Linked DNA regions of Xenopus tropicalis. The protein of the gene in region 1 purifies or fractionates together with the protein of each later gene. This does not show direct contact. Links are inferred from orthologs where the notes say so. Each region holds a gene or a part of one and is shown in the gene's direction. Other genes may lie near its edges.

What was found.
Region 2: the proteins of pak2 (region 1) and git1 purify together in Homo sapiens (affinity purification with mass spectrometry; 5 studies listed by BioGRID and IntAct, with this or other methods). This does not show direct contact. The link is inferred for Xenopus tropicalis from reciprocal best matches to the Homo sapiens genes PAK2 and GIT1.
Region 3: the proteins of pak2 (region 1) and git2 purify together in Homo sapiens (affinity purification with mass spectrometry; 3 studies listed by BioGRID and IntAct, with this or other methods). This does not show direct contact. The link is inferred for Xenopus tropicalis from reciprocal best matches to the Homo sapiens genes PAK2 and GIT2.

Annotation. Positions count from the first base shown.
Region 1 is NC_030681.2:129,785,928-129,789,582, reverse strand, and holds part of pak2 (serine/threonine-protein kinase PAK 2), read left to right. Parts: intron 1-2,538; coding exon 2,539-2,639; intron 2,640-3,343; coding exon 3,344-3,494; intron 3,495-3,655. UniProt on the Homo sapiens protein: Serine/threonine protein kinase that plays a role in a variety of different signaling pathways including cytoskeleton regulation, cell motility, cell cycle progression, apoptosis or proliferation.
Region 2 is NC_030678.2:32,816,657-32,820,123, forward strand, and holds part of git1 (ARF GTPase-activating protein GIT1), read left to right. Parts: intron 1-490; coding exon 491-567; intron 568-1,278; coding exon 1,279-1,461; intron 1,462-2,584; coding exon 2,585-2,648; intron 2,649-3,283; coding exon 3,284-3,467. UniProt on the Homo sapiens protein: GTPase-activating protein for ADP ribosylation factor family members, including ARF1.
Region 3 is NC_030677.2:147,407,231-147,411,647, reverse strand, and holds the start of git2 (ARF GTPase-activating protein GIT2), read left to right. Parts: upstream 1-1,539; 5' UTR 1,540-1,704; coding exon 1,705-1,756; intron 1,757-4,417. UniProt on the Homo sapiens protein: GTPase-activating protein for ADP ribosylation factor family members, including ARF1.

The DNA of each region.
Region 1 (3,655 bases):
CCCAAAATCCATATACTATATATATTCATTAATTTGGGGTCTGGGCAGGTTTGCATATTTAGTGAGTGTATGGTGCCTCAGCAAATAGCCTAGATTATTGACAAAATCGAAAGGCAGCCATGCTGTGTGGTGCCTCTGTTTAACCCATGGCCAATGATTGTACAATATCATGGGTTGGCTGATGGATAGACTTCTGTAGATTCTTATCCAATAGTATTTTCAAACTGCTCAGTAGATATATGGGCGATAACTACATATTTAGGCCAATAAGCATCAAAGTTCTGGAACCATTTCGCTACATAATTTAACAGCAATAAAAAGCTTTTAAGTTCCTTATTTAAGATACAGAGGTGATTGTGGCATCTGTAAAAGCTACATGTGTAACTGAAACCTCATTGCATATTTGTTTGTACAATTCTATTTGCCATAGAACTGAATCCACTATTTTGGCGTTCAGCCGAACCACCAAATCCTTTGTGAAAGATTGGGCGAATACCAAACTGAATCCAAATTTTAATATATAAATGAAGATACCGAAGGGTTAAAGAGAACCGCGCGTGGTGAAGAATTTTCAACTTCCGTCACATTTTAAGGATTCAGTTTGGCCAGGCACATGGATTCGGCCGAATCTGAATCCTGCTGAGAAAGGCTGAATCCCAAACAGTCTCCTGGATTCGGTGTATCCCTACTTAGAATGAGAACCCTCCCTGAGTTTAAAGTGACTGCATGTGATTTGTGTAAGGTTCTTTATAATTACATGTGAATAGAGAAAGCATGAATGTTCCAAAATGTAATCATGCCAAAATTTCAGTGCATAAAAAAGACTTTATTTTGCTTGATAGTTTCCTTTTATTTGTTCCTTTTATTTGTCCCATCCATAATTTTAACAGTTCAGAATAGCACCTGAAAGACAGGTGTAGGTCACCTAAAGTAGAACATTTGCCCAGATGAGGGAGCATCCAGGGAATACTGCAGAGATCAGGAGTAAAAAATACAAGCTTGCTGAATGAGCAGATTGGAATGCACACGTCTATCATACACGTGTGCTGAACAGATGTCGGAACACTAGAACTTGTATTACATATGGATTTTCTGCATCCATAGGCGGAATATAGAATCACTTTGAGATTCAGATGCATCAAAGAATTATAAAAAGTTTTGGATTGGAATTGGTATCCTTACTACCAGATCAGTTATGAACCCTTGTTATGTGACCTTACTACATTGAATGGTTAGAGACGATATGGTCTCGCACAAGCTGCATGTTAGTACTGCTGCATTCACATTTAAATATGGAATTCTCCAAGTAAGTTCTGCCTGCATTTTGGGCATGGTAGATGTGAAGGAGATCACATACAGTCACAAAGTATGTACAACCCAAGTTTTTATTTTATCTTTATAAAAGTGGACACATCAATATTTAATTTTCATAAAGAATGTGTGTGCATATATATGCACATTATTCTCTAGTACAATAAAGAATTTCTAGTAAATTGTATGATGTCCTACCAAGGCCCTGATGCAGCAAAACAGCTTCAAACCACCACCATGCTTTACAGTTAATATATTCTTCTGGCTGTTTTTAGTTTTCACCAGACATTTCTTCTGGTACTGTAAAAAAAATAACTTCTTTGTCCAGAGCACGTTGTTGCAGAAGCCCTTTCTTATATGTTTATAAATAAATTAAGTCTTGCTCTGATCTTTCTGGACAGTACAGGCTTCTTCACTACAATTCCCATATACATCTTATTCGTAAAACTTCTTTATAACCGTAGACTTCTGCTCTTCATCACATCAGTAGTTGGGTGAACTACAGGTAGTTCCTATGATTAAATTCTATGGCTTTTAGAGGCTTCTTTTAGTATCTTGGTTTATTCTCAGTCTAAACTTACTGAGGCAGCCTGACCTGGGCAAGTTAGCAGTTGTTTGAAATGTTCTTGACTTCTGGATGATCTTCTAGACAATTAAATGATCCATTACACCTTATTTATACCCAGGCTAAGGCATGGACTACAAAATGTGAATGGTGCATTAATATATTTATAATTATTGTTGAAATAAAGATCAAATATCTGAGGAACAAATAAAAAATTTTCCATGGGATGTTCAATGTGTGGCCTAGGATTAGTTCCTTATTGCAACAAATAAACGGGTACACTTTGCTGGTCTGCTGCAGAGTAATGCAAATATCTGATTGTTTCCTGTATGTTGGTTAACCTGTACATTATGTGTTTCTTATGTCTAAAGCATTGATAGTGTTTCAATAACTGTATTTATCTTTTAAATTGTTTAATAGCCTTATAAATCACTCTGTGTAACAGTAAGTCTTGTGCCACATAGGGTGTTACATTTCTACTGGTGTTAAATGTCTTCAAATAAGTCTTTTTTTCTACATTTATTTACTAATCTGCTACTAATCTCCATGCATGACATAAGCTTAACTAAAATGTATTTTAATCCTCAATCATGAGATGTATATATGTAAAGCGCATGTGTTTTAAAAAAAAAAAAAAAATGTTACTATCTGTTTATTGGCAGGAAGCAGAAAAAAAGAAAGGGAAAGGCCAGAGATTTCACCACCGTCAGATTTTGAGCACACTATTCATGTGGGCTTTGATGCTGTCACTGGAGAATTCACTGTGAGTTTCATTACTGTTGATCATGTGGATATATTCTACTGCAAACTAAACAAGAAATTATATATGGCAGAATTCCTGGGAAAAAACTCTCAAAATTGACACTTTGCAGAATATTTCTTATGTATGCTTTAGGGTAGACTAGCAAAAGCTCACAAATATGAATGCCAGGGGATTTATGGACATTTTTTAGAAAGATTACCCTTAGTATGGCAAGTAAATACCCCAAAATATATGGTATTTTATACATTGCATATGGCTTCTAGGCAAGTTTAGGGAACAGCTGGTGTGCCCTGTTAATGTTCTAATCAGACAATATGTGGTGCACACAGAAGCCAAGAATCTCTGCCTACAGATTTCTGTGCAATATGGAGATCTTTGTGGCATTGCAACCACTTTTAAGCTACATTGTAAACATTATTGTCTTTGGCACTAAACCATAGTTGTGCAAGTTGCTTCCTTCTCCATTTGATCAAGGTATCTTTACTTTGTGCTGTGCTATTTCACTTTATGCTCCGCATTCTTTTAGATCTGGTACACATTATATTCTAGATAGTATATAGTATTCAATTATCAAGAAGTCAGATTAGTACAAATTTTTTTTCTTTGAGAATTTTTTTGGCAGTAAGTTCTATATAGGGTTTATTAGGTAAGTGCCCCATTGATGCATTTGTGTCTTAACCGCCTGTCATATTTTATTGTTATAGGGAATGCCAGAGCAATGGGCACGGTTACTGCAGACCTCAAACATTACTAAACTCGAACAGAAGAAAAATCCACAAGCTGTCCTGGATGTTTTAAAGTTTTATGACTCCAAACACACAGACAAGCAGAAATATCTAAGCTTCTCTGCACCAGGTAAAAGTGGCAAACGGCTTCCGCATTTTCCTTAGGTTTATGGCACGTGTTGTTTAGAGAGTAATGTCTGTCTCTTGACAGACATGACAAAGCATACCTGCTAAAACAAAAATTTAATGTAATCCCATAATTTTCATATAGTACTCCAGAATAGGCTTTTT
Region 2 (3,467 bases), on another chromosome or scaffold:
TAACCCCTTAACCACTAGTGACCTTTATGTTTCATGTAACTTAAAGAGCCACAACAGAATACTAAGTGTAGCTAAGCATATACACAACATACTAAGGGGCCTATTCATTATGCTGTGTAAAATAAATGGTGAATTTTACCGTCCGTATGCCACATTTCACGCTGTTATTTTATGTAAGTTCCAGTGGAAGAAAAAAAATGCATTTAAAGGATTCTGCAGTTTTTAACATGGCGAGTCCTGGCAATGCGTGGCGAATTTTGTTGCCCTGTTTTACACAGCATAATAAATAGGCCCCTTAGTGTAGCTAAATATATACACAAAATACTTAGTGTAATACATTTTGGAACAAAAAGCTTTGGGCAAATGGCAGGTTTGAGCCTGCATTACCAGTCTCTCCATCCATACTGAACGCCCTATTGGGACAGAGCCTGGGACTTCCAGCAGCCAAGTTGTAGGAAAATGAGATTCCTAATGTTTGTTTTTTCCCCAGCCTACAAAACCGGAGCGGCATGGCAGCGGCACAGACAGTGACTATGATAATACGCAGAGCACAGAAACCAGCAGCGGGTATGTGACAATGCAAGGGCAATAAATGAACCCTTTGCCGAAGTGCCGCCTATTAGGATACATCATGTATCTGGCATGGGGCAAAGTAATTGCTAAAAATACTCTGGGGTGCTTACAAGACTGGCTGTTGCTATATATGGTGTAGGAGCTGGTCACCAATGTGGCAGTTGGGTTACTCAGACCTTTTGCTAATGTTTTCAAAAAGCCATCTTAATAGCTCCACATATTTTGCTTTACTGAAAAAACATCCAGTTTGTTAAATAAGCAGCATCAACTCAACCAATGCATGAAGGGCAAGGAAAGGTAATATCACTGGGGGGCCAGTTACCTCAAACATATGGTTGTCAACTGAGTATGGATGGTGATAATAGCTAGCAGAATCACTGAACCATCCAGGGTTAGAAATGTAAATAGCCTTTTTATTGGAAATTCATGGCTTAGATCTCCGACTCCAAGCAATGTTTCAGGCCCTAACCTGGCCCTTTTTCAAGTGACTTCTACTACCAGTTCTTAATTCAGTTGACTTTAAGCTACAGAAGGTTGCTGAGCCCTGACTAATTATACAGTTGTATGGATGGTAATAGGGCAAGCAGGGATCTGTAGGACATAGGGATGTGTTGTGCACCCCTGTGCTATAGCCGTAACAGTGATAGTTCCACTCTCTCCCAGTGCACAGTGGGTAATGAGCTCTGTATATTGAACTCTTTCTAGGCTCGATGGCAGGCGGTACCTGGATGTGTCCCGGGATGAGGATCCCCACACGGAGGCTGAAGATGTGGAACTGGAGTTAGACCCTGCCCTGCCCAGCACAGAGGATGTGATCCTTCGAACAGAGCAAGTTACCAAAAACATCCAGGAGCTGCTGCGGGCTGCACAGGAGTTCAAGCACGACAGGTGAGGGAGAGCAGCGGCACAACTGAGGATCATTTGCAAGAAAGCACCCCATAATAATACTGCAGCAAACTAGGGGGTGTTGCAACAGACATTGGGGCAGCATTTATTAAAATAATAGTCGCAGGGAGAAAATACTATTCTGCAGCACTGTCTAATAATACACAGTATCTTTGCCTGGATTTGGGACCTTCTCTGGCTTTTTTTTACAGGGAGATTGCACTATATGGGATCAGTGAGCAGCAACTGGATAGGATGGGCATGCAGGAGAGATTTCAAGGGAAAATAAACAGGCTTTTGGCATGAACTCATTCCACTTTATATAAAAAGGGTGCATAAACACTACAACAACCATGATAATCTGCCTGTGGTTATGCACCATTGTCCTTTTATATTCAAATGAATGATTTTATGACAAAAAGAGGGGGGTTTCTATAGAAGCTTTCATTAAAAAGCAATAACAACACATTTTAATACAGTGTGAAACATGGCCTAAGTAGATGATGAGCAAAGTTGGATTTGCAGCAGGGCACATCCTCATGGCATTCTAATAATAATGAGAATTGGTTGGGGGGGTAGGATAGCGGGAGCAGCATCAGAGAATGTTAGGAAAATATGGAGAGCAGGAAAGGGAAAATCAGAAGGGAAAAGGGGAAAAGCAGAATGGAATAGAAAGGTTGAGAATAAACAAAATAATGGATGAAAATCAATGGCAATGAGAGAAAAAGAACAGAACGGGGATGTAATAAGCAGGCTGCCAAATAGGAGAGCGGCAGAAAGAAGGGTGCATTGGAGAAAATGGATGTTGAGAGAACACAAGATGTATGAGAGAGAAGTTGGTATACAGTAAAAATCAAATAAGAGGATAGTAAGGAAGAAGAATAGGAAAGGGGAGAGAAAGGGAGAGCAGGAAGGGACAGAAGGAGACAGGGAGAGCAGAAGACAAAGGGGAGGGCAAGAGGCGAGAGAATGGGTGAGTAAACAATATGCTTTCCTTAGTTTTGTTCATGTTGGCTTCTTACTGTATTGCTCCACATGCCCACTCATGTACCAAGTGAGCTACGTTTGCCTGCATCGCTGGCTTTGGCTCCTGCACTCAGTTTCTTTCATTCTGCTTTTTATTTAGCTTTGTCCCTTGCTCGGAAAAGATTCACTCAGCAGTAACGGAGATGGCATCTCTCTTCCCCAAGGTAAGCGCCTTCTACTCACACAGGGCAACATTATAGCCAACCAGTTGTCTGGGAGTGGCTCAGTTTGTTGCTCCCCTGCTAAACTCAACATAGCCAAGAGTTTTAGGGGTGCTGGGAGTTGTTAAATACTTACAATGTCAGCAGGCACTCATAGATCCGACAAAAGAGGTGTTTAAAGTTAAAACAGACTTTAATAGAGGAGAAATACAAAAAGCCTTACATGTTTGGTGCTACACAGTACTAACTTACTATATACATATATACGATATACTATATACATATATATACATATATATATATTCTATACAAAAAGCCTTACATGTTTGGTGCTACACAGTACTAACTCAGATTTTATATATATATATATATATATATATATATATATATATATATATATAATATATATATAATATATATATATATATATATATATATATATATATATATATATATTAGAAGAACTAAAGAACTAATAAGAGCACAAGTAATCAAGCAATAGAAAATGAGGGCAGAAAAGTATTTGTGTATCTGTGTGGATGTAACTAGTTCCCAGTGATGTAGAAGACATGGATCCCCTATGCAGTTGGCCAGTGACTCTCTAACCTCCACTGTATTTTCTCCTGTGTTTGTGGCAGAAACCTGCCCTGGAGACAGTGCGATCATCACTGCGGCTACTGAACGCTAGCGCCTACCGACTGCAAAGTGAGTGCCGCAAAACCATCCCGCCAGAACCTGGGGCCTCTGTGGACTTCCAACTTCTGACACAGCAGGTCATCCAGTGCGCTTATGACATCGCAAAAGCTGCCAAACAGCTGGTCA
Region 3 (4,417 bases), on another chromosome or scaffold:
ACATACAGAGTAACATATAAAGCAATCAATAACTGATACAAGAGGTGAAGAGAGCCCTTCCCAAAAGAGCTTACAATGTACAAGGAGAGTGGGCTTCTATTTAGTACTGGACTATATTATGGTAGTTCTTAACTCCTAAACTTTGAAAAACCAAAAGAGGGACAAAATGAATTTGGCTAGGTCCACATTCTCAAAATACCATCCAAAGTAAAAACACACCCCTTTTTACATGTTAGAATAAGATACACTAAGGCCCTCACATACATATTGTAGCCCCCAAGCATTAAACAAGACACAGTTCTGCCCCTCAGATACAGTGGTAAATTAAAAAGGGGGGCTGTTCATCTAAAATCAGGACAGTTGCTCAAGTCGAGTATGTTGTCTCAACTGTTAGCACCTTTCTATAACTAGTCATACGAATTCAAAAGTTTAAATCAAAGAGGGCATGGCTATGAGTTTGGATGCAGGTCAATGACATGTAGGAATGGGTGATTGTGTAAAAGGGTGGGGATTGAAGAGTCCCAGTAAAATTTTGTTACAGTTTAACCTGGAAGACAGTTTTGAACTTACCAGCCTCAGGGAAAACAAGAAAGGTGGCAACTTTAAGCAAACCACATTATTATTTCAACTGATATATACTACCAACATATTCTGTAGGCCTTTAAAGAGATTATACATCATTCTTATCAGTGAATGACATTCACACAACACACTAGTCAGTTTTATCAGGGGGTACAAAGAGGAATTTCACAGAATCAGAGCTAGAGAACTACTTGCACATAACTAGCTGAATGGAACTGATTATATGCCCAATCGCTGGTCACTCCTTATACTACAGTTGCAGCCACCTATACATGTTGCGCCTATAGGAAAGAAACATGTACCTGGGTGCCTTTTGTCCAGATGCAAAAACAATAAATATAGAAACTGATAAACACTAGTATTGTGCTTGGAAAAGCAAAAACAATATTTGTTTTGATATTTACAAAAGCACAACATTCGAGTGCAGCATGACGCTATTTCCAGCTGTTAAAAAGGTAAATAGCAACTAAAACGAATTCTTATACCAGGTTTTGAGAGGGGGATCATTGAAGGGATGGAATGACCACACACAGCAGAATATCTCAAAACCCTGTTGACTGGCCATTTGTTATCTACATGCGCACGCAAGGAAGGATTCTAAGCGCTAAACATCACGCAGCCGGAAGGCCAAAAGTTTCACACCCAATCACAACCGTAGAAGTCGAATTTTGGAAGATGATTGGCATTATGCTAGCAGCGACTGCAATGTGCGTAACAAGGACGCAAGCTTTCCTGTGACTTGAAGGTGCGTCCAAGACAAACGTGGGCGGAGAAAACGCGAGTATGTTACCATTGTATGGGAAGGGCTTATTAGATGGAACTGGAGATGCGGGGCTTGCGTGGGTGTGGCCTGTCTAGCCTGTGTGGGCGGGGCGTATCACAGGCTGGGCTTGCTGTGCTTGTCTGGGCTATGTGGGCGTGGCTTGCCTTGCAGTCCGTCGGAGTCCGTCAGTTCGGGCTGGGTTAGCTTGTTACATCGGATTTTTTTTTCTCTATACGGCGCTTTGTATCCCGCAACCCGAGGCCCTTCTTTTTGTGCTCAGCGCTGCTGCTTGCACACTAATTCGCTTCGTTCTAGCGAGAGAAGTTCTCCAGGGGCCCTCCCCGGGGCTGCCCGCCACCATGTCCAAGCGGCTGAGGAGCCCGGAGGTGTGTGCAGACTGCAGCGTGCCGGGTAAGCAGCGAGCCGCCGGGTGTCACTTGCTTTAAGAAGGGGGTCCTTGCGTGTCAAACCATTTTGTGGTTGGCAGGCGTCACGGAATGGGGGATGGCGACATTGCTATAGTAATTACGCAGTGTTCCGACTCAACTACAACTTCCAGCATCCTCCGAGAGCCCAGAATCAGACTGTAGATTTCCCATTGAAACTCAGTGCATTGTGGCATGGGGGCTGTGCTGCCCGCGGGCCTGTGTGTGTTAGTGCTGCCTGTGTGTGTTAGTGCTGCCTGTGTGTGTTAGTGCTGCCTGTGTGTGTTAGTGCAGCTCTGTGTGTGTTAGTGCTGCCTGTGTGTGTTAGTGCAGCTCTGTGTGTGTTAGTGCTGCCTGTGTGTGTTAGTGCTGCCTGTGTGTGTTAGTGCTGCCTGTGTGTGTTAGTGCTGCCTGTGTGTGTTAGTGCTGCCTGTGTGTGTTAGTGCTGCCTGTGTGTGTTAGTGCTGCCTGTGTGTGTTAGTGCTGCCTGTGTGTGTTAGTGCTGCCTGTGTGTGTTAGTGCTGCCTGTGTGTGTTAGTGCTGCCTGTGTGTGTTAGTGCAGCTCTGTGCTTCAGCTCTAGTCGTGTCAGTGGTGCTGGGTGCGCCTTTGGCACCCATGGGAGCTGCAAGCTCAGGGGGCACGTGTTGCTGGGTGTCTTGTTTGCCCGCTGTGATTATTAATCTAGGCCTCATGTGGCTGATGTGTCACTTGTGGGCTTTTACATTGTGGGGCTTTCTTTAATGAGCTGCTGTATATGGGTAGGATTGTTTAGCAAGTGGGTGCTGTGCTAAATAGCATATATTGTTCACACTTTTTGTATTCATTGTGTGTATTTGTGGCATGATATTAGAAATAGCAGATCAAGGCAGTCGCTAAACCTAGGCGGAGAACATTGTTTGGGTGCCCCATACTTGCCCCTTCCCAGCCTCCAGTGAAAGGACCAGCAGCGGGTATATTAATGCTTCAGTTGTACTGGTTTGTAAGCATATAGGCAAGATTCATTCAATTATTTCATTCCTTTCTCTATGATATGAATTGTGATAATGATTGTACTTGGCTTGTGTTGTCATTTTTATAATGCCATTCTTGTACAGGTATGGGACCTGTTATCTGGACACCCATTATCCAGAAAACTTCAAATTACGGAAAGGCCGTCTCTGTTATAAGCAAATAATTTTGATTTTTGAAAATTATTTCCTTTCTCTGTAATAATAAAACAGTACCTTGTATTTGATCCCAACTAGATAATTAATCCTCATTGGGGGCAAAACAATCCTATTGGGTTTATATTATTTAAATTATTTTTAGCAGACTTAAGGTATGGAGATCCAAATTACAGAAAGATCCCTTATCTGGAAACCCCAGGTCCTGAGCATAACAGGTCCCATACCTGTACTACTCTTTGTAAAGTGCTGCAGTTTATATTGGCATCAAACAAACAATAATAATAATTGGAATAAATAGAAACAGAATATATTTGTAACAATCAATAAATGTTTAATTTTTCCCAAAATGGGACCCTAAACACCCACTGCTCATAGGGGGACTCTCTCTCAGTGGCACAGTGTAAGTGTTATTTTTTTTAGGAAATAATTAACTCTGTGCAACTGCACTGGGTACTTTAAGTTCAATGATAATGGAAGGGAGATTTGTAGTGTGGTGATCCTAGAGCTGCAAAATGCTCTAATTAGCCGTACGCCCATTACACATATAGAATTTGTTTGGATCTGATCACAGCAGTAATGGAATAGCTGGAAAGCCAAGTACAGGTATCAGACCCCTTATCCGGAAACCCATTATCCAGAAAGTTCTGAATTACGGAAAGGCCATCTCCCATAGACCCCATTATTAGCAAATAATTCCAGTTTTTAAAAATGATTTCCTTTTTCTCTGTAATAATAAAACAGTACCTTGTACTTGATCCCAACTAAGATATTAATACTTACTTTAGCCAAAACAATCCTATTGGGTTTAATTACAGTTTAAATAATCTTTTTAGAAGACTTAAGGTAGGAGATCCGAATTACAGAAAGACCCCTTATCCGGAAAACCCCAGGTCCCGAGTATTCTGGATAATGGGTCCCATACCTGTACTTGTACTTTGTTCTTCATGTAATTGAAGAACTTGAAATCACTAAAAATTACCATAGACTATCCATATGGAGCCTTATATGCAAAGGGTTATGTAATTTTGTAATGAAAAGGGACTTTTCATACAAAAATACACATTTTTATGTATGGTAAAAACCTTTGCCGTCACAATGATATGTTACCAACTGTTGCATAGAAATACCTGCATAACAAAATGACGTGTCGGAGTAGTTAGGTTGTGCAAATAATTGTCAGAAAAACCATTGTTTATGTTATGATGCCAGTAACTGCATGGGTCACTTCTTGGCCCTTTTCTTATTGTCAAGGAAAAAACATTTTACATGTCCCAGCTTTGTGGTGATGACATTATTTGTATGTGGGGCTGAGGACTCTTCTCTGAGCAATAGGGTTTTTTTTCTAAATCTGTTTGAACATCTCTTGATATGTTTTACACATTTGATTAACTATAACAAATTGCTAAAACGCATGGAAGGCATAGCAGTTAAGTGGTTTCCACACTGATGACAGCCCCAGAGTTCACTTCCCACCAAAGGC